Linked DNA regions of Caenorhabditis elegans. The protein of the gene in region 2 interacts with the protein of the main gene of each other region in a biochemical or structural test. Each region holds a gene or a part of one and is shown on either strand. Other genes may lie near its edges.

Evidence for each region.
Region 1: the proteins of wts-1 (region 2) and yap-1 form a complex in vitro, tested with the Caenorhabditis elegans proteins (one study listed by BioGRID).

What each region holds. Positions count from the first base shown.
Region 1 is NC_003284.9:10,685,541-10,695,473, reverse strand, and holds yap-1 (Yes-associated protein homolog 1), read right to left. Parts: upstream 3,532-9,933; 5' UTR 3,527-3,531; coding exon 3,374-3,526; intron 3,066-3,373; coding exon 2,997-3,065; intron 2,952-2,996; coding exon 2,830-2,951; intron 2,785-2,829; coding exon 2,724-2,784; intron 2,677-2,723; coding exon 2,576-2,676; intron 2,531-2,575; coding exon 2,325-2,530; intron 2,069-2,324; coding exon 1,773-2,068; intron 1,720-1,772; coding exon 1,612-1,719; intron 1,352-1,611; coding exon 1,229-1,351; intron 1,184-1,228; coding exon 1,094-1,183; 3' UTR 501-1,093; downstream 1-500. Other genes in the region: plpp-1.3 (Phosphatidic acid phosphatase type 2/haloperoxidase domain-containing protein), read right to left, coding at 1-10, 57-155. UniProt on the Caenorhabditis elegans protein: Plays a role in thermal stress response and in aging.
Region 2 is NC_003279.8:10,287,340-10,299,718, forward strand, and holds wts-1 (Serine/threonine-protein kinase WARTS homolog), read right to left. Parts: upstream 10,589-12,379; 5' UTR 10,508-10,588; coding exon 10,385-10,507; intron 9,421-10,384; coding exon 9,163-9,420; intron 8,782-9,162; coding exon 8,524-8,781; intron 8,009-8,523; coding exon 7,800-8,008; intron 7,742-7,799; coding exon 7,636-7,741; intron 7,590-7,635; coding exon 7,482-7,589; intron 7,238-7,481; coding exon 6,671-7,237; intron 6,388-6,670; coding exon 6,047-6,387; intron 5,893-6,046; coding exon 5,532-5,892; intron 5,483-5,531; coding exon 5,291-5,482; intron 5,004-5,290; coding exon 4,800-5,003; 3' UTR 4,740-4,799; downstream 1-4,739. Other genes in the region: T20F10.2 (Si:ch211-1a19.3), read left to right, coding at 10,970-10,998, 11,936-12,005, 12,052-12,169, 12,219-12,379. UniProt on the Caenorhabditis elegans protein: Phosphorylates yap-1 which may negatively regulate yap-1 nuclear localization. Plays an essential role in larval development.

The DNA.
Region 1 (9,933 bases), on a different chromosome or scaffold from region 2:
AAATTCCTCCCTGCAGTACAAATTTCTATTAATACTAACAAAACATTTTGATATACCTTCACAATTGCAGTTTTCCTATCAATTTCTTCTTCTTCCTCCTTGAAACGAAGCAATCTACCACTAAAAGTTGTTCTTCGAAGCGCTCGTTCTGACATTTCTATTCTGAAATTTTTCCTAAATTATTACATTACAAATAAATTGAAAAATAGAACGTAAAATGAAATGAAACAAAAAAAACGACATCGGTAAAATAATAAAATGGGGAGGGGTATAGTGGAGCGTGTTTGCACACTCCAACTGATGCGTGGTGGTGACGTCAGGAGAGGAACGCTCTGTAGCCAAACACAATATACAACGTGTGCATAAATTGAGAAATCGATAAATTGTTTATTTGGAACCTTGAATAGCAGAAGTCAGAAACTGTTAGGCATATTTTAAAAAGTTTCAGAATACACAAATCAACAATCGTACATGATATCAAAAAAATGCTTGATGATCTCTTCCATTTTGTCTTATTTTATTTAAGTGTAATTAGACGTAGAACAAAAAAAGAAAATTTGAGCGGAAAATACAGAAAAATCACATCACAAAGGTATTTTGAACTAAATTGCAGCTAATTGTGGAAGAAAGGAATTGGTGACTCTAATATGGTAAAGCAACTGAATTCATTTGGAGTTTTTATTCAAGAAAGGTTGAAAATTCTCTTTTCAGATCCATTAAGTAAATCAAAGTAAGTCAAAAAAATCAAAAAGTCAACTTTTTTAATCGATAAATTTCTTTTTGGCAACTTTTATGATTAGGAAATTGTTAAGGTTCACTACTGAATGACTACGTTTTTGCAGGGGAAATTTCAAAGAAAGTATGGACAAACATTGATAATGCAGGTATTGGAAACGGGGTTGAGCACATGATCACATATAATAAGGAAACAATTGAAAAACTTTCTGATGAATCTTCAAGTTTCAAATTTCAAATCACAAGTCGCTATAATCTAGACACAGGCACGTTTTAGAGAGAGAGAGAGAGAGAGAGAGAGAGAGAGAGAGAGAGAGAGAGAAAGAGAAAGAGAGTGGTTATTCTGCTGATTAGACATTTATTGATAATGGTGCACCATTGATCCCACTCCTCGATTGTTATCGTTGCTAATTTGTAGATACTGGTCGAATTCGTGTGGATTGATATCCTGAAATTAGTCTAAATAATTGAGTATAATGAAAAAAAAACAAACATCGATTACATAATTGCTAGGCATATTATTATGCATATGTGGTTGATGCTGATGTTGTAGTTGCTGGGGGTGTGATACCATGGAATAATCGACTTCCATCGCACTGTCGTCGTTCATTTGACTCTGAAAAATATGTTTTTGATTTGTTCTCAAAGATAAACTTAAGTAATTATTAATATCAATTTGAGCTGTAACTTCAGCCGTTCCTTTAATTATTAGATATTATTAGATAGTCTTGGTTAAAGCATTATCAACAAATAATGGCTTTTTTTTTTTTGAATTTAAGGCACGTTTTAGAGAGACTTCAAAATTTTTCAGCTTACAAATGTCATAAGATTGGACAATTACGAATTTCTCATTTTACATCATAATAAATATCTTACATTTTGGTATTGATTTGGGATCTGGTGCAATGTATGCGGTGTCTGTTGTTGTTGAGAGTTTTGAGCCTGTTGTTGTTGTTGGTACATGAAATTTGGATCATGAGAATGCTGTAATTGGTTATACTCAATTAAATTTGTTTTAGTATCTTAAGAACAAATACCATCATAGTTGATGACATGGGGGAAATTGCTTGATATGGTGGTTGCGGACTGTCGACAAGTCCAGAATTGATCAGCTGCGCGTTCTTCTCTTGAATCATCATTCGTTCGTTTTGTAACTGCTGAATATAATCCATTTGCTGCTGAGAAGAGTATTGTGGTTGTGGATGATTGGGAATCATCTGCTGGTGCTGATGAATTGAGGGCAATGATCGAGACGAGTGTCCATTGTCGTAACAATTATTATATCGGTTTTGGCCAATGTTTTCTCCTAATCCAAAACCAGTTTGTTCTTGTTCTGAAAGTTGAAATAAATTAATATTTAATGTGAACAGATTGTAACCTTAGTTATTTATACTAATTTTTCTGAAGAAAAACAGGGTATAACAATCAGTGAAAACGTGTAGAAATGTTTTCTAGTATTGTCAGAAAAAACAGAGCTATATATGAATAAGACTCAGTAAAATGTTCGATGAAAATAGAGATTTTCAAAATATTTTATAAATATTTTGCAAACTTTTTTTGTTTCATCGTATGTTATAAATAAAACTTACGTTTTAGCCTAGGATCATCCCACGTTGTTGTTTTTGAGTTATGATCCTTAAAGTACCGAACTCCATCACTGTCGTAACACATTTCCCATCCTTGGGGCATGGGTAACTGCTCAACATCCTGTGGTGTCATAAATGGCCTTCTCATTGGGTCTAGCGATAAGCTCTTTTCCCGATTTTGTTGCATCATTCCTTGTTGTTGTGGTATTCTGAAGTTGATATTAGAAATGAAACAGAAATATTCTATGGCATACTCCGAGAGTCCTGCATATGAGTAATTTGCTTCATGAGATACTGATTTTACGTGAGAAGGTACTGGAGAGTAGCCAATAGTCATTGGTAATGCAGAAACACTCTGTAAAACTCTTTTTTAGTTTAATCAACAATCATAGTTTTTCTCACTTTTGAGTGTTGATGGTGGACATTGTGATGAGATGGATGTGGTACTGTTGCGGAAGATTGGCTACAAATATTTGTGATTTGAATTGTCTCAAAATAAATCGTTTACCCATTATTAACACTCGTATGAAGGTTCGGTGCACTGACTTGTCGTGTGTGAATCGGTGCTTGGTTTGATACCATATCCATAGCTGGGCTGACGGCTGTTCGACTACTTTCATCTACTGATCCCTGAAATTTCACCCGGTGTGTTATTCTTCAAAAATTTAAACTTACATAAGGGGAATGTGCACTGCTTCCCGGATTCCGCTTCTGATGGTAATATGATGAAGGTAGTGGATTTTTCTGAAAGTTGAAACGAGGCATGTGATTTTCAAAAAAAAAACAACTTTTTGCATATCCATTAAACCAAATTAATTATTATCCTTGTTTTGCGATATACCCCATTATCAACTGTAAAATCAAACTGTTACAAAAGTGTTGCGAAATAAGTAGCTTCTTTGTCAATTAAGGCAAGTGTGACGCAATCAAATAATAATTCTTGTTTCGTACGAACAATTTGACCCGTAAAAACAATTTGAGTGTAATGAAATGTGATCTCAATTTTTTTCAGTTCTATTATAGTTATATTATTTTTTAGAATTTGAACAAACCTTTTGATTTTGATTTTTTTCATACTTTTTTTCTGAGCATGAAATTAAAGCATGAATACTCTGATTTGGATCTAAATAATGATGCACTGAGAATTGGTTTTTATCTTGCTGTGAATTTTCTTGGTGCTTCTTATGAATGCTCTTGGACGCCATCCAGCCTGCAAAAATTGTATTTAGATGTGAATAAATGAAAAATTTGAAATAGTAACAAAAAATGAAGAATGTGAAATCAAGAAACAAGGTGAATCGTGCAAGGAACGAAAGAACGAAGGCAATAGGAAACCAATAATAATGTGTTACAAGATGGAAAAAAGGCAAAAAAACGCGAGAGAATAGTTGGGAGGACATGAAGATCGGAGGCGTTTCCATCCCTCACATCCGGCAAATAAAACATGATGGACAGACACCATTTCAATTTCAGTAAAATGGAATAAGGCAGCAAGAAAAAATAAATAAAACGAAACAACTAAGATCGAAACAACAACAAAAGTTCTCCCGATGCTTCTTCTTTCTCGATCGTTCGCCCCCGCCACGGATGTAAAAGGTCAGTTTTTGTATATAAACGAGAGGAAACGAGAAATAGAAAGGAAAACTAGAGGAAAAGTAAAGGGGGGGGGGGGAGTGACAGTTTAATACAATTGCAACCGAATCAGAAGGAGACGTCGACTTGAGGTGCGAGAGAAGATAGGAACACGAAATCGTGTGTCTAGAAGGTCAACCAATTGTTCGTGTATGTGTGGTGCGACTGATGCCTCCACCTTCTTTTCCTCTATTTTCCCCCACTACTCCGTCGTTCTTCCCAATAACTTATTATGATCAGTTCAGAGATAAGAAAAAAGATGGACTGATCCGACCGCAGGATTGTAACACTCGGAATCTGGGAAGAGTTGAAAGCTATCATCTACTACTGGAAACCCTAGCTGTGGAATAATTGAAAAAGTGCTTTTCACAATAAATTACATTGTACAAATTGATTAAAATAGATTGAGACAACTGCAATAAAAATATTTTTCAAACTAAATTGTTATGTTTTTTGAAAATTTGTTTTTAAGTTTTTCAAAGAAATTAACATTTTCACAGACCAAAAATAAAAGCTGTTGACAATATAATCAAATTGGAAACAATACGTGTTATAAAGGTAATTGCGCTTGATAATGAAGTTGATTAAACATAACTGGAACGACTGTCTTGAGATATGTACTTTCCTAACTAAAAGCTTAATTATCTTAATTTGAATTTTAATATGGCTCGCCATGAATTGTTTTATTCCCGGCATCATCAGTAAATAAAATGAATCAGATCGGTCAAGTTCAGTACTCACAAAAAAATCGGAAGCCAATAACTGGTCTCTAAAGAATTTCAGGACGCTCTGGGGATCCCTAAAGTTTTCACAAAATTTGTTTTATGAAATTTGATATTTGTTAATTTTTAAAATAATTTTAATTTCAAAATAAAATTTGTATTCTTTTGAGAAATTTCATAACATTCGGTTTTTTTTGAAATATAAAAAATATACAGAGGTCTATAAAAGTTACACAATGGTTTATTACACCTAACTTTTTTGATACTTATTGATAAAGTTTTTGGAACGGCTTATTTGAATGGTATCAACAGTTTTCTGAAAAAAAAACAATTATCAAAAAGAAGTGCAACTTAAAACAGAAGGTTGGGCTGTAGAAGTTGAACGCACCGTTCAACATTTGAATGTACAAGTGTTGAACTTCCTCAAAAATCTCAAAAAATAAATTTATTTGGAAACAATTTTCTATTTGTGCTACAAATTTAAAACTCAATAATAAATACTATTGGAGGCTCAAAAGTTGAACAAAAACCCATCCTTTACGTCACCAAACTTTTCAACAAATCAAGATGAAATGTTTCCAAAACGTAAAGAGTCGCAGAGTCTCGATCCTTTTAGAACTTATGTTTGTACTGGGTGTTACATACAATGCCACAAGTAGTGCACAAACAAATACGCCGTTCGCCTCTCTTTCTTCTTCATCTTCTTCGACTTTCCCTTCGATGGCTAACATCGTAGTCCGTTCCGAACTGATTGAACCGAAGTGAGATAAACAATCAAGTTGACCACAACATCTTCTAACGTTTTTTTTTTTTGCTGTGACTGATCACACTCTTTTATAAGTTTCTCAGGAGACACAGTGAGGCAACAAAGGAAATTTTCGGGTGTGGTGTGTCATCCAAATATGGAAAAGATAGGAAATTGAAAAGAGACGCAAAAACCAAAAAAAAAACGAAAGAAAATACAGTGAAAACTATGACGTTTCTAATTTTTTTATATGGTTGTGTTGTCTTTGGTATTATTTTGCAGAGTCGAATAGTTATCACTTGCGTTCATGCCGGAAGTGATGACGAGACAAACTAAATTAATGAAAAATATAGAAAACGGTTTGCAAAAACTACTGCTGACTTTTCAGGAAATAAATAATGTGAAATAAAACACATTCAGGTTTGCTTTGTGAAATAAAAAATTCAATTGGTCTTAAACGTTCTATCTTCTTTAATTTTAAATTACCGGAGTTACAAAACGGAAGTGTTATGAAATTGCATACAAAGTGAGGTATTATTTAATATGCATGGTAAAGATAACATTATTATCAAAAAGAAAAAATCGTTTTGAAAAATTGACTTAAGATTTTGATGTTTGAGGATGACATTTCTCGGACAATATATGTAGTCTGATACGCGAAAAACAAACAGTTTCACAAAAAAGAGCATGAAAAACTCAAGTAGTGGACAAGTGAGCAACAACACATCATAACCCTAGTATAGGAAAGTGACGGTTTTTGGCTCACATGACAGACACTTTCCGCCCACTCAATATCTACAATGAAATGGGAAGACTCAGTTGTGTTTTGATTTTAGTCTAACTCAATTGTCAGTGTCCATTAAAATTGTTCAAACATCAGACCGCACCAAACTGTTTGCATTTAGTCTTGAATGAAGTCAGTCGGTTTGCCTTAGTGCACAGAAGGGTCAAATTAGACTTTTAGGGTTCCTTGGATTCAATTTTTGACATTGTGTGAAACATATGACAACAACTATTACTCCCACATTTTTAGCTTAACTTTATAAAGGTTTTGCCAAAGGCAGCCACGGGCATTTTCAAAAAATTATAAACCATTTTATATTAGGGAAATTCTATTGTATCGAACAATTAATTAGAGTTCCTACACAACAAATGGTGTAAATTGTGAAAAAAAAGAAATTATATATTTTTATTAGGTAAATCCGAAAAGATCACTTGAGCATCTTTATTTGAAAAATTAGTCGCAGTTATATTTTGTATGGGAAAAAAATTTGAACGCACACGCAGTTTCCTTTAAACAGATAATTGCACGAGTTGAGTACGAGATGATTGAAAATAGTAGTAGTAGTAATTTATTAAACGATTTTGTTTTCATCAAGTGAAAAATATAACTCATGTTTCCGCCAATACCGTATTCTTTCACGGGTTAAGTTCACGTGATCGTATCCAAGCAGCTAATCATATTTTCCTTCCCGCCCCATTGAACACAAGACCTTTAAAAAGGGTAAACGAGACATGAAGAAAAAGTATAGACGTAGTGAAAGTGAAAATTATTGGTGGTAACAGTGAACCTTGGGAGACGTTATTTGTAAGAATCACTGGCTGATGAATAAAGGTTCTTTTTGTTTTTTGTCATTATAACGAGCGCATTTTTCATTTATAACGGAGACATGTGCAGCTCCGGGGAAAACCGAGAGAAAGAGGACACCCACGCGTGTCCGGCTCACCACTCAAGCACTTTATCATCCTTTACACCATCAATCTTAAAACTATGTTTCTATAACTCAAACTATTCAGAAAACATTTAAATGGCCACCGCGAAATGGCGTACTGTTCATAAAACGAAACATTGATTTTCCGTATTTTCCTTATTAGAATTCGAATTCTCGAAAATTATTATGATTTGAAAAGTTATTGCCTTTAATCAACACCAATACGGGCGTATTTATAATAAAGACTGCAAGTAAATTGCTCAATTGCTCAATATGAGTGAAACTATGAGTAGGGATTTGACATAGTTTTAATACAAAACGTTTTGTTTTGAAATTAATCAAAATTATATCTGACTATAAAACTAGTTTCAAAAAACCTGTGTAAAATGAAAACTCATGTTTTTTAACCTTTATAAGATGAAAAGATGTATCTTTTTCGACAAAGGTTGATTATGTTCTTTTTGATTATGTTCTAAAAATGTACACTTCATTTATAATTGAAGTTTAATTGTATTAAAATGCTCAGATTTTAAATTCGCTGAAAGTATCATTAAAATACAGAAATAATAAATCAATAATTTTGTTCGATTAGGTAATTAAAATAAATGAATATTAAATTTACTATAAAAGCAAGGAGAGACTTATTCGCTGTGTTGGAAACGAAACAAGCATACGCAATGTAAAGAATTTGAACTATTCGTGAAATTATATAAAAATTGAGTCAAAATCGACAACTTTGGGTGGGGTTGTCGAGGTGGGAAGCATGCCTGATAAAAACTGTATTTCTATCAGTGTCACATATTTATTTACCATCCATGTCACATGAGTTAGCATTTTCAACGGTGTTTAGAACGCTAAATGACGCTTCATTCTGAAAAAGTTAACATAACGATGACAAATTTAAAAAGTGGCAAATGTTGGGTTTCTTCTGCCAAAAACAGGAAGAAGGGAACATGGCAAAGAGGTGTAGTTGGTTTGAACAGTTTTTAACTTCCTGATAACATGTTTTCCGTTTAACATTTGAATCATGGGTGCGTGGAAATCGGAGATTTTCGGCAATATTGGCAAGTGCCGTAATTTCAATTGGCGAAAAGCAGTTGCCGCGCGCCTCTGATCTGCATTTAGAAATGCAATATACAGGGTTGGTTTCATTTATTTTTCTTGGTTGGGAACTTCGGAACAGTACAAAACTTTTCAGACATTTTAATGTGTACGTTGACAGATTTTATTTTATATTTCAAAATAATCACAACGTAATTGCATAATTCTATATTTTTACAGCCATAAATTCCACTTTTTGATGCAACTTTTCTGTTTTTATGTTGAAGAGTTCCACAAGACATAGTAGAATAAAATCTTAGTTCAACAAGTTTGTTTATTGTTTGGTGGCAAATTGACTGCCCACTAAAACTTGTAAATTTGTGAGGGTTCTCAAAAATTATCAAAAAATACTATATACTGAGGTAATTTAGAAAGAAAAAATCTTCAAGTTTTGCAACAACAGTAAGACCAAAAGATACTAGGTCAGTTGGTGGTAAGGCATATTAAACGGCCTTCATTTCTGAAGATCTCAGCGCTGCCTGTTTCGGATATTCCAAGACTTGACAAGATGGACAGGAAGAGACGGTTTCTTGTCATCGAAAATGGGAAGAAGACGATGAGAAAGTTGCGCAAAACAGATGAGTCACCGATTGGCATCGTTCTGACCATTTGGAATAAGGCGGTTTTTTTTGATGTGATGCCTCTCTCTCTCTCTTTTTTCTTTTCCACAACCCGCAACAATGGTGGTGGGCGACTGGTACTAAAACGGCTAAAAATAGAAAAAAAAACATAGAAAATCAAATAAAACTGATACGATACTTATCTGTGATTAGAAAAGATATATTTAATTAGACATTTTGTTCCGAACACCAACGCACATTTTGTAAATACCTAGTTTTTTGATTTTAAAAATGTAAACAATTCATCAAATTCACTCAGTTCAAAATGTTTGAAACGCCCCGCCAAAGGTAAACAAAATTAACAAGCTGTTCAGCTCATTGAGGCAGTTCAGCTTTCGTGGTGGCGCTCAGAGAAACTGAGAAAAGTGGAACAGTCCAAAGAGCACAGATTGCAAATACAATAATCTTAAAGGGTATTTGATGAAGGATCTGTTTCAGCATGAGCAAAGTTTAAAGATCAATAAGGAACAACCTTTTTTAATAATTCAATGAATCATCGGTAAGTGTGTGAGCGGTACAAATGGATCTTTTGTATTATCAGTATATTATCGGAACGCATTCCGGAAAATAAATGTTCATTGACTTGTTTAACTCCATTTTTATTATTTTTGGGCTCCTCAGCCAAACAAAGCAACAAAAGAAGCAACTTTTTTAAAACTTAAGTAGTTTAACTTCAAACTACATTCTGTTAAAAGATAAGGCCCGGAAAAAAATATGTATGCACTTATACATGTTTTTTATTAGTATACACTTTTTTTAACTAAAATATGATCTTATAAATTAAAAAATATTGTTTCTTATGGAAACAATCAACAACAAAAAAGTAATGCACACAAACTGACTACTTTTATAATACAAGTTATAGCCCGACCCATTTCCAGGTGACCGAAAATGTCGAGCTGTGATTTCAAAACCACATCACTCTAATTGATTTTCCTGGAAATGAAATGGTCTGCAAAAATAATGAAAACGTGCAAAATGCAGGCTCTAATTGAAATAATTGGAAAACATTAGCTGATTTGGTGCTTTCATTTTTTTCAGATAAATTCATCCAAGATTTCGTTGAGGGACTACAAATAC
Region 2 (12,379 bases):
TTGGTTTTTTCTATCGTGCGAAAACTACGAAATTTGTGTTTACACATCAGTAAAAATATATGAAGGAATCAATATATTTTTAAATAACTTTAAATATGATTTGGTACTTATGGGTTTCGTTCCCCCCAAAATGATTTCCATATTTTCTAATTGAGACGTGAACTTTTTTTCGTTCTCAGGCTTAGGGAAATGATTTTCTAAGCCTTGTAAAAATGAAAACAGTATTAAAATAAACATTCACGTGTGGATTAAAATTAAAAAGGTAGTGTTAAATAATTAAAAATCATTTTGGGGGAACGAATCCCATAAGTACCTATGATTTAACTTTAAAAAAATAAAGCAACAAAACATGTATACAGGAAAATAAAAATATAAACTAGCAACCCCCAAAAAAAAGTATAACGCGATGATGACTGCAGATTACGTTCTATAAATATGGGTGGAGGAGACGAGGCGAAAGTAGAAATGAGCGAGAAAAAAAAGATAAACCGATTTTAGCCGAATGCAGCAAATAGCTTTACTAGCTGGAATTTCACTCACCTGTTGGAGTGGAAAAAGTGACAGCCGTTTTTAGGTGGAAGTTAGAGTGAGAGAACGAGAGAAATATCATAGATTCAATGAATTTTTGATGAGGATATCAATGAGGGAACACTTTTTTGAGTACATTTTGAAACATTGTCTTTGCAGTTAGAGTTTTTGCATTCAAGAAGAAGTAGGCGGCTAAGCCTATAGGCCACCTACTTCAAATAATTTTTCTAATCAAATAATGGCTTCAAAAATAAACTATCTTTAAAAAAATGTTTGGATCAAAAAGTCTAGACAGTCTAGTTTTACTAGTTTAGTTTGAGTTATATTACTTGAAACTTCGAAAGAAAAATATTCTGAAAGTTTTTTGAATTTTTTTCGGAGCTATTTTGCTCAAGTTTATAAAACAATTATAAAACAAATATTTTTCAATTAAATCAACATTTCTGAAAATGGTAAAAATGTTCTTTTTTAGACAGTCCTGGTAGACTGCGAAAAAAGGCGATTGAATGTTTTATTCTGAAAACTTGAGGCTGTTTGCAAGCAATTAAAATTTTTGAACATGCTGTTGAAGCTTCATATTTTCTAAAAACACTATGTATTTATTGGATTTTTAAAACAGTCTAAAATCATTAAAAGTCGACAAAAAAGACTACAAAACTTAAAAAAAAGCTCAATAAAAATAGAAGCTTCGAAAAGTGCGGAGCATACAACAAAAGAGAATGTTTAGAAAGTTGATACCAGTAGAAAAAGGAACACGGATAATTGATAAAACGAGAAAAGTGGAATCTACAAACAAGAGAAACACTTAAACACATGGGGTTTCCGTGTCAATACATAAACTTTTTGAGGTCAGGTGACTCCTGTTTCTTACAAAAAAAAACTATTCAAGTGCATTGTTTCTTCGATGATAACGAATTTTTGGAAATGCCAAGAAAATGGTGGAACGGAGCAAAAAACTTGAAGTATGAATAGGACACATGTGTTTTCGAGCTGTGATGCCACGAGGCACCATATGTCTCTGGCAAATGACGTGGCATTGTGATTTGTTGGGTGGGTAAATGGGCGAGAAGATGAATGATATGGGAAAATTCAGGGGAAAATAAAATTTCAAATTATTTTTGAGGTTTTATGACCAAATTTGTAGTTTTTAAGTTTGACAGCCTACTTTTTTAAAATTATTTTTACTAAACCTTACAGCCTAGCTGTAACCCAAAATCAGGTAGAAAAAATAGTAGAATCTTCTGGTAGACTACAGAGGTACTAAAATTTTTAGTCTTGTGAAAAAAGTACAAGAGTGAATACTATCATAAACCCTAAAATACCCTAAAATGTTTATTGGATTTTTCTCGCATACTAAATTTCAGAAATACCATCATACCATCTCATTTATTATCGCGCTTGCTAGTAAAACGGCCGTAATAAAAATAAACAAAATATTGCGTTGGGCCTTTATAACAAGATTCTTTGAAATCTCGAGAGAAGGAAGCCGGAACCTGTCTTTTGTTTAAAAAAAATTGTCAGTTTTTTTGTTATCGGTGTTGTGAAACGAAGCATTGCTTAATATTTAAGTTTAAGTTAAAAAAAAAACATGAAAAACCACAAAACACAATAAAAAATTCAACCTAGCCAGGTGAGACTCAAAAAACTGTTTGACTTTAAAAAATGAAACACCGAAAGTCTCTGGATGTAAAGTGCACCAATTTGCACTAATTTATGAAATTAAATAAAAATTGTTGCACAAAGACAACTAAAATCAATTTTTAAATTTAAAAAGTAGAATTTAAATTCAAAAAATAAACTAAACCAAACCTTCTTTTCCTCTTTTGATGCCATGTGTTTCTTTTGTTTATCGCCTGTTCACTTTTTCCATGTGATTAATTTTATTATTCAGTGACACTACTGATAACTAACCCTTTTGTTGCATCAAAAAAGGAAAGGAAAAAGGAAAGACACTAAGCAGTAGAAAAATAATGTTAAACTGAAAGAAACCACGTCCCGGGCTTGCAAACGGTGTCGAAACTCTGCGAAACTAGCATAGTTGGTACATTCACATCCAATCAATAAGTGGTAGGACTCCTTCCGACCAAAACGTCATAAAGATTGCAGAAGGCGAAATTGAACATATGCCAACCATGCTGGTTGAAAGTTGGTACATACACAAACTTGGTAGATGTTTAATACAATACAATTTCTCTGTCGGTACGCGAGAACATCTGGAGATGAACTGGAGATGTCATCTGGCATGCACAAAACAACTCGCACAAAAGAGAGGGGAGAACATAGCGATGCTGAAAGGGATAATAGACGGTCTGCGTCACTACAGTTTAACCTGTTTATCGCAGAAGGCGTAGGGAAAGGAGACAGTTATGTTGTGTGAGTCTCTCCACATGTTCACCCCCTAGAGGAGGCTCTCTTTGTAAACGCCGACTGCAGGCTCTGTTCATCTTTCCATCCGAACACCTAAACAACTTCTGTCATTCATTTTATCTTGTTTCACTTTTTATCCTTATCCTCCTCATTAGCATTTCATGGATTTTAAATCTTAATTCTTAATTCTTGAATTTCTTCGTTTCTTGACATTTCGTCAATAAAACTTGTTTCTTAAATTCCCTATTTTTCGAATTCGTCCATCCTTCGTCGTCGTCGTCTCGTCCCAAATCCCTTCCCATCATCCCATTCCATCCACCCGTCTTAATTCTTTAACTTCTTGACATTTCGTTAAGAAATATTGTTTCTCGATTTTTTTTTTTCAGGTTTACATCCAAGAACTTTTTTTCTTCAACATTCAGATCGAACAACTTTTTAAAAAACTAATTTTTCAAACAATTTTGCTTGATATTTGTAATATTTTCAAATTGTAAAAAACTCCTGAAACAATTTCAGATCGAAATTTTTGAGGTAGAGCTTTGCCGCTTAAAATTTTGCAGTAACATATCCTATGGAACATTTTCAAATGGCATCTTTCTCTCGCTTTGAAGTCTGACGGTAAAATGAAAACCTTCCCTTGTTAATAAAAACATCTTTATCGTAACAAAATTGCATCTATATTTTCTCTTTTCCTTTCAAGAAATATTCTCTTTTTAGCTTCAACTAAAATGTATCTTTTTACAGACCTCAATCAAACGACGATGCATGAAGGATGGATGGCATGGAAAAATGGAAGGAAAAATCCAAATCTGTAAGGATTTTTTGATGTTTTAACTAAACTGCAAGTTTTTACAGATGCTGAAAGATGTGATGGAACAAAATGGCGCTCAATGAATGGAAAGATCTGGACGATCGGGATGGATGGATGGATGGATTGGAACGATCGGTAGGGATTTGGGACGAAACGACGACGACGACGACGAAGGATGGACAAATTCGGGACGGATCGGGATGGACGGTAAGTGAATCCATCTTGCTCCTTCTTGTGAGTGTAGCGTCCCCGTTACGTTTACCTGGCTTGAACTGAACTGGTTTGCTTGAATCTTTCACTGTCCAATTTCTGAACCGGGTTCAAAAGTAGCAGGCAAGGGCTGCATTTTCGGATTTACTGCTACCCCCTGAGTTGATTTGTTTGGAAACAAGCAAATCTTGTACCGTACTCAGAGGCAGTGAAATCGATTAATCTCTTAATGGGAAATGCGAACTCCTGCGAAAATAAGAACAAGGAGACTGGAAATAGCGTCAAACAGACGAGGGCTTATCGGACGGTTCTTGCCACATAGGTAAATTGTAATGGGCGATGCTGCGCAGTTCTAACGGTACAGAACATCACTTGAAGTGCTATACGCTATACGCTATACGCTATACGCTATACGCTATACGCTATACGCTATACGCTATACGCTATACGCTATACGCTATACGCTATACGCTATACGCTATACGCACTGTAAATTCAGAGACTTTCGGTGTAATTCCGAAAGACGAAAAACCAGTAATAATTTCTCAATGTGATTGATTTTATTGGCACTACTGACAACTGATCCACTTTTTGCATCCAAACATAGAATGTTTAATTTCTAAAAATTTCATTGAATAAAAATTCATTTGAGCAAAAAAAAAACGAACGAAATAGTGTGGCGACATGAGAGAAAAAGAGAAAAGAAAAGAGATATTAAAAATATCTCGAATTCTGAAAACCGTATCGAGATCATCACAGAATTAGTAAAGAGGGTAATTTGGAAAATTAAAGATAAAAATAGAAGCAAAATGAGTAAAAAATGATACTAAAACATCACATTAAAATCATATATAATATAATCAATAAACAAATTCATGCTCTTTTAAATATGAGACGATGAATCTTCTTCCGACACTGACTCATTAAAAGTTCCGTTTTCAAGTAATGGCCGAAGTGACCGACGACGAGATGGTCGAAGTGATGGGCAACCAACAGAATCCGTATCAAAGAAATGACGATAAGTGAATTCATAGAAGGCTGGATTATGAAGACCTCGCACATTCGGCTTGTCAGCACGGTCATTGTCCTGGAAATTTGGAATTAGAAGTGTGATAGGTTTTGAAAGAAAACTTTTCAAGATTCCAAATTTAAGTTAAAAATTTGAGTAGTGAAACTCAATTATGTTTTTATTGGAGCTGCTATGTATAATAGTTTCAGAAACTCCACAATTAATTTACTTTAATTCAAATAAAAATTCTGTATTTCAAACTCAAATATTCATAATTTTGATGCTATCTTTTTTATGTCTACATACATAAAATTATATCTAACTTTTTTAGACACTCTAAACAAAGTTTAAAAGGAAAAACTCACTTGAAACGTTTCAAAATTAGAAGTGTCTTCATCGTGAGTGACCCGAGGAATATAAATATAATCAGCTCTCAGTTTTCTCAAGTTAACCCAGTCAATTCCCCTGAACCATGGATGATTTTTGACTTGTGCCGTTCGTTCGGCAACATCCTTCCCGTGAGATCCCAATCTTGACGACGCGTCACAAATTAGTTGCTGAAAAAGTTTTGGTCTTCACAACGTCTATTTAAACAAAAAAACTTACTTGAATCATCATAAGGCACTCTTTTGATAGATTTCCACAATATGTAAAATCAAGGAAGTTTCTCCAATTCTTAATTCGATGTTGTGTTCCACCAGGTGTATCATCATGAAATGGCACTCTTCCAAATACCATCTCATACAAAATCACTCCAGTCGACCACCAATCACAACTCTGATTGTGCCCGGTTTTGGCAATTACTTCGGGTGCCATGTAATTTCCTGTTCCAACAAGAGAATGGGCGGTTATCCGGCGGGTTTGTTGTCGAACATTTAGAACTTTAACGCTTTTATCAATAGCTGCAACTTCAGGAGGAAGCGAGAATGAATCGACACGATGATGGTCGTTTTCAGGTCCATAGTATCTAGAAAATATTGGATGGTTTCATGTGTGACTTAAATATTTTTTGCACAGATGTTGAGCACACCAACTACAATTAATCATTTGCGTCGCGCCTAGGCTCTATTCCATTAGACACCCTCTCTTTCTCGTGACAAATAAACAATACATAATCTTACCTTCTGTCATGAGTCCACCTCAAACCAGTGCACAATCCAAAATCAGTCAACTTAATATGTCCATGTTGATCAATTAGAATATTATCCGGTTTCAAATCTCTATGAATAAATCCAACATTATGAACATATTCAATTGCACATGCCAGTTCAGCAATGTAGAATCTAGCGAGATCTTCTTCAAATATTCCTTTTTGAATCAATAAAGTCATCATATCTCCTCCGGGAACATATTCCATTATGAAGTATAGACAAGCATCATCTTGAAATGAGAAGAAAAGACGAACAATCCAAGGAGAATCAGCTTCTGCCAGAATATCGCGTTCGGCTTTCACATGGGCGGCCTGAAAGAAAATGGTGTTTTTAGTCAAAAAGTTTTGAAATTATTTTTCGATCATATCGCTTTACAGTCACATTTTAAAAACTACTAGACTCACAATATATCTGATATATTTTCCTACTAGTAGCAAATATAGAATCAATTAAATTAAAAAAAAAAAACCTAGAGTATCAAAAATGTTAGACTTTGCAGTTTTCTTACTTTCTATTCAAGGTTTTATTTCAAACGTAGGACACCAATATTTTCAAATTTTTAAACCAAGATCCTAAACAAATAACAAATCCTACCTGTTGTTTCATTATGACATCCGCTTTTTCCAAACTTTTCATTGCATAAACCTTCCGAGTATCATTTTTTCGAACCAATGAAACTTTTCCAAATGCTCCAACACCAATATGTGAGATGACAGTGAAATGGCTTTTACTCATCTTTTGTCTTCTTAATCTCGTATATTTTGACTCTTTTTGTTGAAGTAATCCCAGCATTTTATTCCTCATAATATCCGGTAATTGAGCTGAAACCATCTCCTTTTCCAACTGTTTCATTCGTTTTTCTCGTTCTTTATATTGCTGTAGAAGTCGTTCAACATGTTGTTCCATATAAAATCGAAGCATATTTGGTTTACATGGTTGAACTCTTCGTGTATTCTTGATGTATGGTTCCAAAAGTGTTCGATCAATTGGGGAGCTGACTCGTTTCGGAGGTGGCTCACTGGGTTGATTGTATTGAGGAGGAGGAGGTTGAGCACGTGATTTCATTGTGATTTCGAGATTTCTTGGTTTGAAAAGGATCGGCCGGAAATCTTCATGATTTGCATCGGAAGTGGATGGAATCAGGCGAGGGTCGGGACGCAGCTGAAATCATTTTATTTTTAGGGTTTATCCCCGAACTTTATAACAATTATTGTTCTATTCATAAAATTCAACTGGGCTCTCGAAACCGATTCTAAAGTAGTTTTGCAAATTTTTGCTGATTATGGGTGTCTGCGAAGACAAAACTTTTAGTCTCTTATATTTTATGAGCTCTGTCAAAAAAATGACTCTAGAAATATCAGTTAAATATTTCAGAAGGTAGGAGTTGAATTTTTCTCAAATTTACCTCATCTTTATAGTTGACAAAATTCTTCCTATCGACATCAGCTGTATACCGTGGACCAATAATGAATGATTTGCTTGGAAGAGGACTATCACCAACATTTACTTTTGTCTGAAATTAAAAATGAATTTTAATATCATTTGAGGTCATAAAATACCGTATGAGGAGAAGCAACATTGATACTAACAACACTACTAGCTGTTTTTTTGTCCATTGATGTATGATAAAGTCTCTGGATATTATCTGCTTTTCGTTCTTCACTCCTGAAAAGTTAAAGCAAAAGATTTATAGAATCCTTCTGATATCGTTTAGAAAACTTACATTGTCTCGATGGAAATCGTAGATTTTGCTGGAGGAGGCGGTGGGGGTGCCATATTCTTGTTGTGATTGAGCATTGTTGGATTCGGTGGTGGCGCTTTTACAACAGGATGAACTTTCATATGCAGGTGAGTACGGTAGTTGTCTGTTGCAACTGGAGTCATTCTAGTGTTCACCGGAGATGAATCGTAGGCTGGTGGAGGTGGTCGAGACTGAAAATTTTCATTTATTAAAGTGTCAGGTCTGCCTACTAGGGGTGTTTGTGTGTACTTTATTGGACTCTTTAATTTATTTTACAAAAAAAATTTCAGAAGTTATGAACAGGTCACAAGAAGGTCCCCCTATTGCTTGAACTAGGAGTATTTTTCAAAGAAAGTTTTGGTCCATTTTCTTTTCAGCTTAAACTTTCAAACTTTGTCAATTTGGAAGTATATTTTGTTACTAATTTTAGTTGTTCACACGTGTCTCGCCGTTGATTAAAGTGCCTTTTCAGTTTACGGGTGCACTAAATATTATCAAATATGTGACCGAAAATGTAGCCAAATCAACAGAAAAACATGGAACGAACGACCAAAATATGAAAAGTGATAATCGCATTGACAATTTGGACTTTTTTCAAAACTGAACCACCGCAAACCAATTTTTTTAAAACAAAATTTTAAGTGGGACTTCTCAGAAAAAGTACTTTCCGATTCTTTAGTATTATATTTTTTCGAGAACAACTTACATATCCTGGTGAGTATTGTGGTGCATTGTTATTCATATGATATGCAGGAGTTGGCATATCATATCGATATCCAGCAGGATGTATCCTAATCGACTCTTCAGTTGTTGTAGAAGGTGTTGATGATATAGTTGTTGATGGATTTCCATTTCGAATCATCTCTTTTCCACTTCGAAATACTGTCTCATTGGCACCAGTATCCATCATTAAATGTCTTTGTGGCATTGGTGTTATCCGCATCTTGTGACCACCACCTTCTGTCTGAAAATATGATTTTTTCACTTTTGAACCACCACCCTTCACCACTTTTGAAGATCATAAATCGATTCATAGTTGACAATTTTCATAAAATCCCAAAGTTGAGCTGAGCCACCTATTTCATAATTTTTTATTCAATAGAATTTCTAGCTAGTTTGCTACAATTCCATTCTTTTTTTTTTCGAAGAAAAATATGACGCTTTCGGCCGGTCTATGTATAAATTTCAAAAAAGTTATGTTTTTTTTGGGCATACGAACTGACCTAGACGGAAAATTTGACGGACAATTTTCCCAGCCAATCGAATTTTATTTTTTACTCTCAAAATGTTTTTCCATTCGATTTCCAGGACCATTTTTGATTAAAAAAAAAGAAATGTGACTCACTCTAAAAGAATTCGAATTTGATACAGCAGCGCTCGAGACTGTCGTCGTCGTCGCTGCTGCATTTGAAGAAGAAGACGAAAAATTCATCACTTCCGCATTGTCATTGGTGATGTCAGAATGGCTGACGGAAGAACTTGACGGTGTTGCAAGTGATCCAAGAGCCACGTGACTTGATAATAAACCGGCTTCATGTTCGTAAGCTTTCAGCGATTCGCGAATTTCGTCGAGTTTTGCACGATGACGCCCCACGCGGATTTCCTGGAAAAACAATTGGTTTAATTAGTTATGCCAAATTATGGTACCACTGCCCAGATGCGAATTTTTTAGAATTTTTGTAAAAAAAGGATTTCTTTAAAGCAAAAAACTTTGCGTTTCTATGGAAGTTTTCAATGTTTCAACACTGAAATTGTACATTTTTCTGAGCAATTTATATATTTTTCATATGAAAAATACTGATTCATTGATTACGAAACTATTAAAAGGTGATGCTTCTAAATGGAATTTTAGGTGATTTCATTTTCTTATCAAAACCGCCATTCCAAGTGATAACGTCTGCCATGAAAGCCCCGCATTGTCTCGGAACGCCAAAGTGTTGAATAAGAAAGGGTGAAGTAATTTTGAGGATTTTTTTTTAAATTTTAATGAGTTCTACGAATCTTGAACAGATTTTGAAATTCAAATCAGGAAAAAAAAACATGGAACTGCAAAAAAAAATGATTTGCGATTATAGATGTATTTACAAACAATAGCAAAGCCAATATAATTTAAAAGAAGACCTTTTGAATAGGACCCCACAAAAAATTTAGCAACAGAAGAGCATTTTGAACTAGAAAAAATTGGTCCGAAAATGCTAGAGGTAATTTTTAAGTTAAATAATTTTTTAAACGGAAATCTGAAAGCATTTTGATCGAGTTGATTAGGGGGAGAACATTTTTAAAAATTTTATTAAAACTCCTAGAATTTTCAATTGCTCTTAATCACTGAAAAACAACATGTCTGCAAAAAATAGCTTTTGGAGCAAGTCTACAGCTCTCGAAAGTTGTGAAAAGAGCACTAAAAAGTTTCAGATCGTGACACTTTGCCGCTTAAAATTTACAACGATCTAGTTTAAAGGTCCTCTTTCAAATGACACATGGTTCAGCTGAAAATCTAGGGAGTGATCAAGCCAAACAGATCAAGATCTGAATCAATAACCCAATCACTTTTCCAAACCAAAACCTACTGAATTGTGATGGGCATCTATCGCTGAATTAGTAGAGCCAAATGGGATCGGAGCAACTCCACGTTGATGTCTGATATCAGAAGATGCACCATTTGGAGTAGTACCAGGGGCAGCAGGTCGCATTCCAGGGGAATACAATGCAAAGGAGGGCCTCCTGCCGAACACTGACAAACACACACACGGAGAAGGCGATGGGAATGGATTGAAGTAGAAGAAGAAGAAGGTGAAGAGATAGAATGAAATGATGAGAGAGACAGTGATACAAAACTTTCTGTGTCTCTTATCGTTATGTGGTCTCTTTGCTTCCCGCCGCTCTCTCTCTGACTCCCGCAGGAAGAGGAGAAAAGTCTTTACTCTCTTTTGCAGGACATCTCTCTTTGTCTTATTCTCTCGTGTTGTCTCTTCCAACATTCCTCATCCCTCGTCACTCTAACATCTCTCCCCGACTCTCCAACCTTCTAGTGCTCATTTTCTGCCGTTTAGTTTCCAACACATTTAGGACGCCTGTGTCTCGGAACCTCTCGCCGTATCATCAGCGGCCATCATCGCCCGTCGAAAAGACATACTTGCCGGTATCCCCCCGTCATGTCATCCAGCAGAAAGCCTCTCATACGGTAAGTTTTTAGAAGCTTTTTATAAAACTCTGTGTTTGAACAAATATTTTTAAAGATGTTTTCCTGTTTAAAATTTGAATTGAAAGCCGATTTTGAGAACAACTTCGAAGTGTTGAAAATTTTCCGGATTCAAAAATGTGCACAATTTGTAAAATTCACCAGCTTTACTGAATTTAAAACAAATTTTTAACATCTGTAGAAAAGGGGTGCTCCTTGCCCTCGCCGGTAGTGGAGAGGCACTCCAGGCGCCCCTGTTACTGTCGACTGTGCCTGCGTACTTTTGAGAATATATATTACCTTCAACATCTATATTTTAAATACTGAATATTGGAATTTTCCGACAAAAAAATTACTCTGGCTTAAATTCTCAACCAAGTTTTCAAATTGTTTCTGTAATTTTGCATAAGACCCAGTAAGTGCTATAGTACATCATCAGCTTTTGTAATTGAATTAGAAATACGTACTCAAGTGATTTTAGGTTAAAACTGGAAATTGGAGTTGTAATTTTTTCACTGGAATGATAACTCTATATATTACTACTGAAAGAGTCACAACTCTGTAGTTTTTCTTATTTAAAATGCAGTTTTGAAAAAATAACAGTAGACATAAGCTTGATACTCGAATTTTCTTGTATTGACTCAGTTTTCTGTGTTTTTATGAATTTTGATGATTTTTTAAATCAAACAACTATGCATTTCCTCTAATTCTACTACAAATCCCCTTTAATCTCCGTTTTTTTGCATTCGTCAGCCTATCAAAAATCGATGTCTCTTTCCTTTTTGTATCTATGACATCCACGCAGTCTTCCGTTTGCATAAAAACGAAACGGTGCGCCGCAGATGTCGCGTGGCTTTTCCCTTTTTTGTAACCATTAAACAAACATATAGATACATAGAAGGACAACGTTTAAATAAATATTCAATTTTTTTTCTTTCAGGAGCAGTTCACACTCGGATCGTCCTACTACAATGAGGAATTGGCCCCTTTTTGTATTTCTTATTTGCCTGGTAATATAATTAACAAGAAGTCAATGAAATTATACACTTTTTGCAGGTATTATTCTTTTACGCATTCTACGTATATCAAGCTCAAGGAGAAGTTTTATCCCAGACAAACGAAGAAGTTCGACAACTATCCGCCCAGCTGAGTCTCACCAAAGGAAAGCTTGTTGGTTAGTAATTTTCTGCCGTTTATCTGAAAATATAGTATCGTTTCTTTAGGAAGTATGGCAGATTTGGAATCAGCGAATAGTGAGAAGAAGTCAGTGTCAATTCAATTGGATGATATTACAAAGAAGAACGAAGAGTGTATGACATCCTTGAGAAATACGAAATTGAGAGTTGATACACTTGAAAAAGACGGAAAATCGAATACCGATAAT